Drosophila melanogaster: one gene and its partners. Changing the gene in region 1 together with any one later gene gives a genetic interaction. Each region holds a gene or a part of one and is shown on either strand. Other genes may lie near its edges.

Region 1 (3,831 bases):
ACGGCCATACCGGCAGCGAGCTCAGCGTTATTGGGATGCGGATTAGCCACTGCTATAGGGGGAATCGGATTTCCACCTGAAAACGAATTTGGGCTTTAAGGGAGCTGTTACTCTCCGTTTCGAGCCTTACGCACTTGCGTCCAATTCCAGTGGCGGATCTGCATTTGCTTCCGCTAGATTCGTTACAGACTTGGATTTTACACATTGGAAATCAACATGGCGACTCTTTGCTTCCTCCTTCTCCCAGGACATGTGGATGAAAGGTCGCTGCACATAGCTGTAGATGACTTCAGCCCGTCCACCGGGACGCCTTCGGATCTTCTCTTTGTGGGTGGGGTATCCCTCTATGCCACAGCGTATCTTCTTCAGACCGCGATCCTTCATCACCTGTTTGGCCACATCGCGGTTCTCGATGTACTTGAAGAATCGGTGCATGGCAGTGCTGTGCACGGCTGCGTTAGAAATGTTAGTGTTGCTTCCACTTCCGTGATACTAATGCAAACACATTTTTTAAATACACTCACTCTGACAATACTCCTCGCCCATCTGAGGCGGAAACTCTTCATCCCACTCGACCATATCGTCTTCAAGGAGCACCACAACGTGACACTCTCGATCCCCGCGCTGCGCCGAGGCCACCATGAGGGGCAGAATTAGGTCCTCAAGAAAGAGTTCAAATTGTTGTCGCGCTCCTTCGTTGCTAAGCTCGTGGAGAAGGCCTCCTTTATGTCAAACATAACAGAGGGCATGTTACAAGGAAAGAGACGGAAAACAAGCAGAGGTGGCCACAACTAAGGTTCGCCCTGGCAGGAATAGTTCGCGTTATACTCACTTAGGTTCTGGCAGCGCACCGTGGTTGCGTCGAAGGGAATGAGCAGATAATCACAGGCTTCTTTTAGTTCCGGTACCGAAACAGTGGGCGGGCAGCGGATAACACCGCTTTTGTAGTACTCCAGAATGGCTCTGAACACTAAGTGCGAAATGCCGTCGGCAACGTCGTACTCGCCGCGCTCGTTGGTATGAGCGAACTGGAAGCCGGAGCCGAACATCGTGCCAAGCATTGTGGTGGGATGTGCTGTAAGCAGTGATTGCTCCACCGTGAAGCGCACACCGTCCACCAGCATGGTGATCCTTTCGGGAGGGAGCGGCAGGCGGCCCATTCCGGAACCAGTTGCCTGGCAGCTGGGAGATGCTCCGCAAGGGGATTTTATGTCGTGCTTGGGCACAGCACCTCCGCCTGACATATTGTGCTGCGGACGGTTCAGCCGGCTGCGCTCCTTCAGGATGCGCCTCCTCCGCTCCTCGGCTGTTTCGAGAACTTCCTCGCTGCTGTCGCTACTGTACGTGTCCTGCTTCTGGGCAAGGGGCGCCTTGCTACTGATATTGCTACTACTACTGTTCAGACTTGGAGTGTTTGACATGTTTGTTGCGTTTGATGAGCCACTCTTCAAATATTCCAGTACAACACCGTTCCACCGACTTTTCGAGAGAGACAAAGACAATCTGGCAGAGGGCGGTCAAATTAGCGAGGCTCCGTTGAAAAAAAGCCTGCTTATCGCTGCATCAGAGGTCCGATTAAATAGTATTCACGTTACCTTTGTGCGACGCGACTTTTTCCTTTTTACATATAGTTATAAATATACATATTTTTTCTTGTTGGTGCTGGAGATGGGCTCCTGGGTGCGCTCAGTCGATAGTTTTCCTCTGTAATCACAATAACATATTTTTAACCGATATTTATCTTCAATCGCGATGTTTGTTTTCAGCTTATCGGGTTTTTTTTAACGAATAAAAAATTCCTCTCTAAAAAAATAAAAAGATTGTAATTTCATCATTTCGACATTGTTTGTTACATAATTATTAACTTCTATTAAGTTAAGAAAATCTATAATATTTAGAGGTAATAATAAGAAAATTCTTAATTAACATATCTTAACTTAATGGAAATAACTTTTTTTTTCAAATACAAATTAATATGAAAATTCTGTGGAAATTAATTAAATGTTGTTAAAACAAAATACAGCGTTGGGCCGAATGCAACTCTGTATATACCCAAGCTGTGTATCGATACCGACCACCGACTAAATGCACTCGATAGTTTAAATTTGCAACCGTTCATCATGGCGATCTGAGAAAAATAATTTTTGCTCAAAAATAAAATAAATAATCAAAAGAATTGTAATTCCTGCGAACGCAAATGCGATTTTGGGAAACGTGAGTTTGATACGGACGCTTCACGAAATGCGAAGACTGTGAGCGGTCTTCGGTCAGTAACAAGTGCTTGGCGTGTGTGTCTGCGGCGGCAAAAAACCCAAATGTAAAATATATAACAAAATCCCAACTCCCCCAAGAATGGGCAGTGCGAAAGTGGCGCCCTGAGTGGGCGTGTCGCGTGCGGAAGCGCTAGCGACGAGCAGAGTGGCTGTCTAGGTTTGCGGATAGCAATAACAAATAAGTTGTTATAATAAAAGTGTAAAAAAAAGTGCAAAAACTTTGATTGCTTCTGAGTAGTGAAGTGTCGGAGGGGTATGCTGGGTGCCGTGTATAAGCTGGCGGATGCAACACGAACGCCACCTGCTTGCCTCCTGCTTGCACTCACGCGCATAGTAAGCGCGCCCTTAAACGAGCGTGCTATGTGCGAGCGGGAGGGCGCCTGTGGGTTTTGCACCAGTCACCTATTGGCAGCTTGAACGTTTTTCTATATTTTTTGTGTATTTTCGGAAAGCATAGAAAATGTGGACACTTACTGGGAACGCTCCTAATATAAGCGAATAACCCACAAACATATGCCTTCTCTCCCACCAGACTAGCGAATGCTCGTCGAGAATCCAAACCAGTGAGCCAAACGCCAAAGAAAAACTTGCAAAAGTCTGTGGATAAACAACGAACAATAACAAAAGGCAGCAAGCGGAAGGTGGCAGTGGAAGTGGACTAACTCGCCCGTGGAGAAGTGCGGAGCACACAGGACTGCAAAGTGGCGTCGCTACTGGATATTAGGGCTGGGGCAGCAGCGGCGTCCATGTCCACGGGGCACAAAGGGTGGACCACCAAGAATCACGACCGCACCACATCCAGGAGAGCGCAGCAGCAGCAGCCGGTGTGGTGTCGCCAACTGTGGCCTTAAGCATGTAGTAAGTAAATTTGGTTAGTAAATAAATCGCGTGAAATACGTATTGAAGCTGCTTTTGCCTTCTTACTTCTAGGTCTTGCAGCAAAGAACCCGTTCTCTAACAAGCACAAGACACAAGGGACAAGGTACCAATCGAAGCAAAAACACACAAATATCCAATCAACACCAATGAAAAATGTCACAAAGAGGTAAGCGCGGTAATCAGCAGCATCACCAGTCGCACCATCCGCCGCCGCAACAGCATCAGCGCAAGGATGTTGAGCCGCAGCCGCCGCCCACCAAGCGGCGCAAAGGTAGGCCACCTAATGGAGCCACTACGGCAGCAGTAGCTGAAGTGACTGGATCGGGTCCAGCTACAGGATCGGAGCGTGTGCCAGTTCTGCCTTTGTGCAAAAGCAAACATGAAGAGCCAGGGGCGGAAGCGGGGGGAGGAGGACAAGGAAGAGCCGCGGCAGGCGCTACCAGCACTAGCAAATCGAAGTCAACGAAACTGGCAAAGTCGGCAAGCAAGTGCAAGTCGCAGGGGGCGAGTTCTAGTAGCTCCTGGCAGGCGCGGTCTGTAGCGGACATCAAGATGTCGAGCATCTACAATCGAAGCTCAACGGAAGCTCCAGCTGAACTTTACCGGTATTAACAGACCAGCAAACCAATTAGAAACGATTCAATAATATTCAAATTTTAATTGCAGCAAGGATCTCATT
Region 2 (3,831 bases), on another chromosome or scaffold:
TAGTGTGGTGCCGGTCAAATCTGGATTTGGCCTGCTCGCTCAGCGAGATGCGCATACGCTGTCCAGAGCACTTCGATGTCGCAACCGTCGTGGGGGTAAATTCGCATACCGGAAAACTAATCACCCACTTTAATCACCGGAAACTGGGGGATGTGGACCTGGCGCCTCACGCGTTGCTTAGCCGGCGAGACAAGTTCATGGACATTTGCCAGAAACAAGTAATGACGAGTCAGGGCTGCTTGGCGTCAGAGGGAACACCAATCCCCGCCGACCTGGAGGTCACTTGGCAGAGTCATAGCATCATTGACTGCCTTGCTCTCCGCAAGGTGCGTGCAGAGATGAATTTAGCTGATCAGAAGGCGGCCAAGAATCTTGTGGATCGCGTTGAGGTGCACCACAAGACTTTGCAGACGGAGGAGGCGGAGCGAAGGAAATTGATTATTGACAAGGCAAATTCTGCGAGGAACTTGACTATTGACAAGGCAAACTCTGCGAGGATCTTGGCTATTGACAAGGCAACCTCCGCTAGGAAATTGACTATTGACAACTCAACCTCCGCGGGGACATTGACTATAGACAAGGCAACCAACGCGAGGAAATTGACTATTGACAAGGGAACCTCCGCGAGGAAATTGACTATTGACAAGGCAACCTCCGCGAGGAAATTGACTATTGACAAGGCAACCTCCGCGAGGAAAATGACTATTGACAAGGCAAAATCCACGAGGAACTTGACCATTGACAATGCAACCTCCGCGAGGAAATTGACTATTGAGAAGGCAACCTCCGCGAGGAAAATGACTATTGACAAGGCAAAATCCACGAGGAACTTGACCATTGACAATGCAACCTCCGCGAGGAAATTGACTATTGAGAAGGCAACCTCCGCGAGACGTTTCTCTAGACCAAAAAGATATGTCAGCGGGTATATTTCCAAAAGAAAATCGATCGGAAAAACGGAGTCTTTGTCGCGCGGTGCATACATCCCCGATCCTGAGCTCAACCGCGCGATAGCCAAGTACGGTGTGTCTGCTAGTCAACCGTTCAAAAGACAGCATTGCCTTGTGCTGGAGAAGCATCCCGACAGAACCCAGATCCCGAACTCCAGAACCAACACCAGTGGCTGTAAGTCCGACGGCTCTTCAACACCCATTTGGAGAAGTGCTAGAACTGGTGCGGATCAGAATACGCAGGCAGAGAGTTCTGACTCTTTCAATTCCTCCAATTCCTTCGAGAGCTCCAGTCTGGCCAGCGATTCTCAAGAAAACCACGAGCTGTCCACGGCGGCAGGTCTGACGGCGGCCTTTATGCGGCGACACATGCTATTCCACCTCCTGGCCAGGAGGTTCAGAAGACGGTATCTACGTTAGCCACGTCGTAGCTCGGGTCGTATGTGCTGCGACAGCAAGTTCTCTAAATTGTATAGTGTATATGTATGTATGTTAGTAGCTGAATCGCGAAGAATTCCCGCGAATTTCCATAAAGTTCAAAGCAGTATTTAAATTTGCGGCTATCGATTACAACTAGCTATATCGCCGATGTGCAATGCTCTTGAACGCTAACCAACACTGTCAGTTTACCGCACACATGCAAATAGCATTGTGCATTGCAAATAAATTATATGTGTACACATATTTTTGTCAATTATTTCGTTCTAATTCATTTTAGGGTCCCCCAATTTAGGTATGTATGCAACACGACATACTGCTTGCAGTCACTGCATAACTCGCCAAGCACTGTAGTAATACCACCCCACCACGTTTAAACTGGCCGAATGCGCGCGTCGGTGTGACCGCATGGCTTTGCTGGCGAAATACCGGCCGCCCAACTAAAAATCCATTAACTTGTATTAACGTGTCAGACTCTGACTATGCAATCGCAATTGCAAAATCTTTAAGTAGTGGCAATAAATTAGTTTTCCTTCTGCACAAGTCCATCCCTAGGGCCACATCGTCCGCGCAGCCCTAGAAGTGGATAGTTCGAACGCGGAGTGGATCACACGCACCTGCCCGCCGCAACTAGTCAAGTTTCCCGCGTTTTCCATGGCGATTAAGTTGTGAAATAGTTATTTTGTTAATGTGTTTTAACCAACAACCGTGGCCGTGGTGTGGTCCTGGCTAATCGCAGCATCCCAGCGCTGTTTGTTCTGTCCCCTCGCCTGCTCTTTTGTTGTGTTCCTCAGAAAAGGGTGTATCGCGAACACACACACACGCGACAAACACTCGCACACAAACACACACGCCCAAATCATTTCGGCGGGAAACTTCATTATTTCTGTAATTAAGTGTAAGCTCTCGCAGTTACATGTCCGCGAGGAGCGCGGCGGCAAGCGCAGCATACACCGGCAGCCACTAGGCGCCAGGCCACTAGACGTAAACAGCGGCGCCAGGCCCGCAACGCCCCGGTTAGCCGGCTAGCTCCAATTCAGGCGCCTCCGTCTCCGATTTCCGACTCCAGGCTGTCGCCAGAAGCAGCGGCCGCCGCTGCAAGCATACGCAATCAGCCGGGACAGAGACATCATTCGCAGACATGAGCGAGCCTGACCCGCAGGAACTGGGAGCTGAGGTGGTCAGCGGATTGGTGGCGACCAGCGACGACCGCCTGGAGATGATCAACGCCGAGTACACGAACCTATGCCGGGATCTAAACATGGATCGGCAGACAGAGCTGCAGGGCTACGAGACGTACTTAGAGGTGTCCCAGAGGTGCTCCATGGAGGTGAGCTTCGAAGTGGCAGCAGTAGCCTCCAACCTAACGTCCTTTCTTTCATTCTTTCTGTGCATTGCCTGCCTAAAAGGGCACAGCCAGCCACTGGATGTGCTGCGCCATTTACACGGCCTGCCGAAGAACCAGCACACCCACGGTGACTGGCCAGAATGCAGTGGTCAAGGGTAATTGTGTGTCCTTAAACAATTTGCTGCGCTGCTGCAAGATGAGGTGGGTTGCCGTTTATGCCTGCAGTTTCACACCTAACCATTTCCACAATCCCCACCCACAGCATCTACGAGTTCAAGACCAAAATTAAGCAGTGGTGCGACATGGCCAACCTGCCTCAGGAGTTTGTCAACGAGATTGAGGATCTGGACCGCAAGTTCAGCATTACATTCATGCTGCACAAGCGTTTCCGCATTATTATGGACATGATCTTCTCGTGCCCGCCCAACGAGAAGAAGCACTCCAAGTACATGTGCGTATATCATCATGTCAGCCTGACCCCGTGTATATAAAAAGCTTCCCTCTTTGGAACAGTTCTCTGCATGGCAACCACGCCCACGGAAAGTGCTCGTACATCAAGCTGGACGACATCTGCTGGCGCCTGTTTCTCTGCGCCAAGAACCAGAAGCCGAGCAACACCGTGGACCTGGTGACATCCTACAATCTGATGATTTGCTGCATAGACCTGATATACAACAATGTGCTGGCCGAGAAGCGCACCGATCTCATCAACCCCAAATTCGAGGGCCTGCCGAGCAACTGGACGGAGCTGGACTTTCGTCACAATCCGCACTGCATTTTGTCCAACTTCTGTGACATGACCGAGGAGGCTAAAGCCATGAAGGCCACCACTTTCCGCCAGATCATGTCGAGCTTCTTTCAGGCTTCGGTAGGAGTGCCGTTTCGGATTTCCATTAAAACAATTAATTTGTTCTATTTTCATTTCGACCAGACCATCTACGGCAACAAGGACACTATGTTAGGCCTATTGGCTAACGAAAACTTCGAGCGCAACCTAAAGTCCCTCAACATCAGCTACGAGCAGTACGTCCTCAGCGTCGGCGAATTCGACGAACGCATTCTGAGTGCCTACGATGCGGGGGAACACACTGCCCT
Region 3 (3,600 bases), about 16 Mb from region 1:
TCTGGCGCGTCTCAAGGTAACTCGTAAACAAATGAAATCTTATCGGGTTTGGCCCATAAAATTGGCGGGCTTTCTGCCGAACCTCGCGCGTTTTTCGCTTGAACTTCCAAGCTGAAGATGGAGATGAAGATCGTTTCCAGGTCTCTCTCGTACTCTCCATATACACTATCTTGGGGCATTCATATTTTTTTTAGAAGAATATTGAAAGGAATAATCACAAAGGAACAACCCAAACAAAAAAAAAAAGACTAACGAAACAGACTTTTTTGAAAACCTCACAAATTGACAATCAAGTTATCAAAGGCACGCCAAAAATACGAAACTTTTTTTTTAACATTGTTACATTACTTTTACATTATAAATGTATTGTAGTATAAAAATTGGTGTTAAATAAACATTACATTTTCTTGCAACTCTCAAGCATGTATTACTATAAAAGTTTATTGATAGACCCAAATCCATTTAAACTTTATGATCTGTAATTACCAAGGTAATTAGCGGTTTATTAGCCGATTTTATAAGCCAGTTCGCCACTAAAGCTTTGTTTCGAAGGGCATTTAAAGCATCGACTTTAAGCTCGATCTTCCTTTTGTGTTAAACTCTTTTCTGGATTCTTCTCCAGTTGTTCTTTTTTTGGCATGCGCTACAAGAATAAGGCCCAAACATGAAACCATGGCAAAAGGAGAAGGTTGAACGATGAAGGCCAGGAGGAGGCGGCGGCCCAAGTCCAGGTCGTTGTGGCTAAGGCAGGAATTAGTTTCCGGTGCCGTAGTAAAAATGACAAAAACAACACGGCGGCAGCAAAAACGGCCGAAAGGATGCAACGGAAGCGGCAAGAGCCGCTTGGCTGCGAAGTCCCCTTTTAATTTTTTGTTATTTTGTTGTATTTTATTTCGTTGTTGCTTTTGCTTTTGCTTTAAGCCAAGCACGCGAGCCAGAGACACCTTGCCATCCGCTCGCTCTCACCAATACAGCCGCGCTTAGTCACAGATGCATCTCACAGATGCGCGCACGCACACAGGCGCAGCAGCAATGGATGCTGCAACCACCAGCGGAAAAAGGCAGCAACAACATGTTCATTCATTCATATCCAGCCCACTCTCTTTCGTGTTCTCTCACGTTCGGACGCTGCCGCTCATGCACTGGGAACAAATTCGGTTGACCAAATATGTGAAAAGACAACAGTGGGTTCAAAAGACTGCTTTGAATACTTTTTGCGTAACACACTTTCTCTTTTAAAGATTTCGTACTACTTATGATTTTACCTCTTTGTTATAAGATAATAACATTTTTTGTTAGATGTACATATTTATTTGATTGAAAATTTATACTACTTTATAAAAATTCTTATACAACCAATATAATAAATAATTACATTTTATTGAATTGAGAATAATAAACAAATTTTTTTTTTTTTTATATTACTATTAATTTCTCTGTTTAATCGAGCATTTTCTCTCAGTGCACAGACACGCACATACCGGCAGCGACGCGAGCAGCGCACTTCTCTGCCGGCTTCAACGGCTCTCGTTCGCCGCGCGCTGTTCGTTTTTGGATTTTCTGTTTGATCAGTTCGAAAAGTGAGTTGGTCGAGCGAACAACGATAGAGCGAGGGCAGAGTAACCGAGGCGATACGATACGATATAATATAGCATCGGTACCATTGGGTATACGTTCCAGGAGCGAAAGAAAAGACGAAAACGAGACGAGACGAAAGGCCACCGGAGACAGCGACGTCGCGGGTGTTAAGTTACTAAATAGCAAACAGAAACTACCGACCACCGACCGATTGCAGTGAATGAAATATCCAATAATTTCGAGTGACATTCGCCACAAATCAATCGATCGTTCGATTTGAAACCTGATTTGTAGAGTTCGTTTCTGCCAGTGTGTGTGTGCATGTAAGCCATGGGTTCTGGGCGAGCGAGTGAGATAGAGCGAGAACACTGATTCGACTCGATTCGATTCGATTCGATTGGATTTGATTCGAATTCAATTACAAAATTCATTGAGTGTCAATTACAAACCGCAAGAAAACAACACGCACGGAGATTCGGAAAGATCCCAAGATCCAAATACAAGATCCAGATCCAGATTCTCGAACATCCAGAGATCCCAGCCAGAGTCAGAGTCATAAATCATGCCTACGACATTGATGTTGCTGCCGTGCATGCTGCTGTTGCTGCTGACCGCCGCTGCCGTTGCTGTCGGCGGCACGCGACTGCCGCTCGAGGTGTTCGAGATTACGCCGACCACATCCACAGCGGACAAGCACAAGAGTCTGCAGTACACCGTCGTCTACGATGCCAAAGATATTTCAGGAGCAGCGGCAGCAACTGGAGTGGCGAGCAGTACAGTGAAGCCCGCCACCGAGCAACTGACCGTTGTGAGCATTTCCTCCACAGCGGCTGCGGAGAAGGATCTCGCCGAGTCGCGGCGACATGCGCGACAAATGTTGCAGAAACAACAGCAGCATCGCAGCATCATCGGCGGCAAGCACGGCGATCGGGATGTGCGCATCCTCTACCAAGTGGGGGTGAGTAGCTAGCAAGTACTAAATTCATTTGATTAGCCTGGCTAATTGCATGTTTGCATTGATCGGTGGGGCTAAGTAAAAAAGCATAAAATAAAACACAAGGTACCAATGAAACCAACAACTGGCAATGGCAGGTTGCATAATGCAGGCAACAACGTCAGCAGACACCTGTTCAACTGGTTGCCATTTGTAAAATGCCCACGCCAGCGGTATCAACGGCAACAGCAGCATCTACACAGAAAACAATATTGATCGATTAGATAATTTCAGTCAAATTAGGGAAAAGCAGATCGGCTAACGGTCTGCCATACCAATTTATCAAAGAACTCTCAAAACAGTCTCTTATCTTCGGATTTGTAGCTTAATCAATTAATCAGTCAAATGTATTATAGCATAGATATATCTTAAATGTCATCGCGCAAGTCAACCTACGATTTCTTTCTCTGCACAGCAGGTTTTGCAATGCAACTTTTTTGGGCTGGGTCCGAGTTTTAGTTCGTTATTTTTACATATTTTTTTGCTTTTGTTCAGAAAACTCTGTCTATATTTAGCAGCCGCCCTATGGCCATTACACTTGACACCCACAAAACCACTATTCATATATCACCATACGCATATGGCACATTTAATTGCAGCGGCCACACTCGCTCTAGATGAAAAATGAAAGTTGTTTGCAGTCGGAGAGCTCAACACATCAACTGATCTGTCGCATTTGATCAATTAAAGTCGCAATTGCCATACAACCGAACGATATGAGCGATACCAAAACCAATTAGCCGGGCGGGTCAAGAGTTCAATGCTGGCTATTCATGACTAAGCCGACGGTACACCAAAAAGTTCTTGCCGTTATCTTTCCCCTTAAATCCGCTACAATGCGAATTCAGATCATAGGTCACCGCGGTTCCATTGTTCTCACTCCCGATCTGGCCATAAATCAAGTGTCCATTGAGAAAGAGAGGGGCTTGGATCGGTCATATATCATGTATCGTATATCTATTATGTCAAATGTCATACGACAGAACACGCCCTGAAAATCGAATTCTTGCTTGATGTTTCTACGAGGC

The links.
Region 2: of rno (region 1) and Rbf, changing one enhances a phenotype caused by changing the other (phenotypic enhancement), as found in Drosophila melanogaster (one study listed by BioGRID).
Region 3: of rno (region 1) and aos, changing one enhances a phenotype caused by changing the other (phenotypic enhancement), as found in Drosophila melanogaster (one study listed by BioGRID).

What each region holds. Positions count from the first base shown.
Region 1 is NT_037436.4:198,062-201,892, reverse strand, and holds the start of rno (rhinoceros), read left to right. Parts: upstream 1-2,130; 5' UTR 2,131-2,430; intron 2,431-2,805; 5' UTR 2,806-3,131; intron 3,132-3,203; 5' UTR 3,204-3,305; coding exon 3,306-3,757; intron 3,758-3,818; coding exon 3,819-3,831. Other genes in the region: mri (mrityu), read right to left, coding at 1-76, 135-452, 525-722, 833-1,421. UniProt on the Drosophila melanogaster protein: May function as a negative regulator of the EGFR/Ras/MAPK signaling pathway during eye development.
Region 2 is NC_004354.4:799,484-803,314, reverse strand, and holds the start of Rbf (Retinoblastoma-family protein), read left to right. Parts: upstream 1-1,835; 5' UTR 1,836-2,529; coding exon 2,530-2,718; intron 2,719-2,797; coding exon 2,798-2,937; intron 2,938-2,998; coding exon 2,999-3,187; intron 3,188-3,249; coding exon 3,250-3,604; intron 3,605-3,667; coding exon 3,668-3,831. Other genes in the region: CG13359 (uncharacterized protein), read left to right, coding at 1-1,370.
Region 3 is NT_037436.4:16,481,617-16,485,216, reverse strand, and holds the start of aos (argos), read left to right. Parts: upstream 1-1,566; 5' UTR 1,567-2,140; coding exon 2,141-2,536; intron 2,537-3,600. UniProt on the Drosophila melanogaster protein: Regulates cell determination; development of ommatidia and optic lobe. Is a signaling molecule involved in the process of axon pathfinding in the eye. Part of the Ras pathway regulating programmed cell death in pupal eyes; activated by lozenge (lz).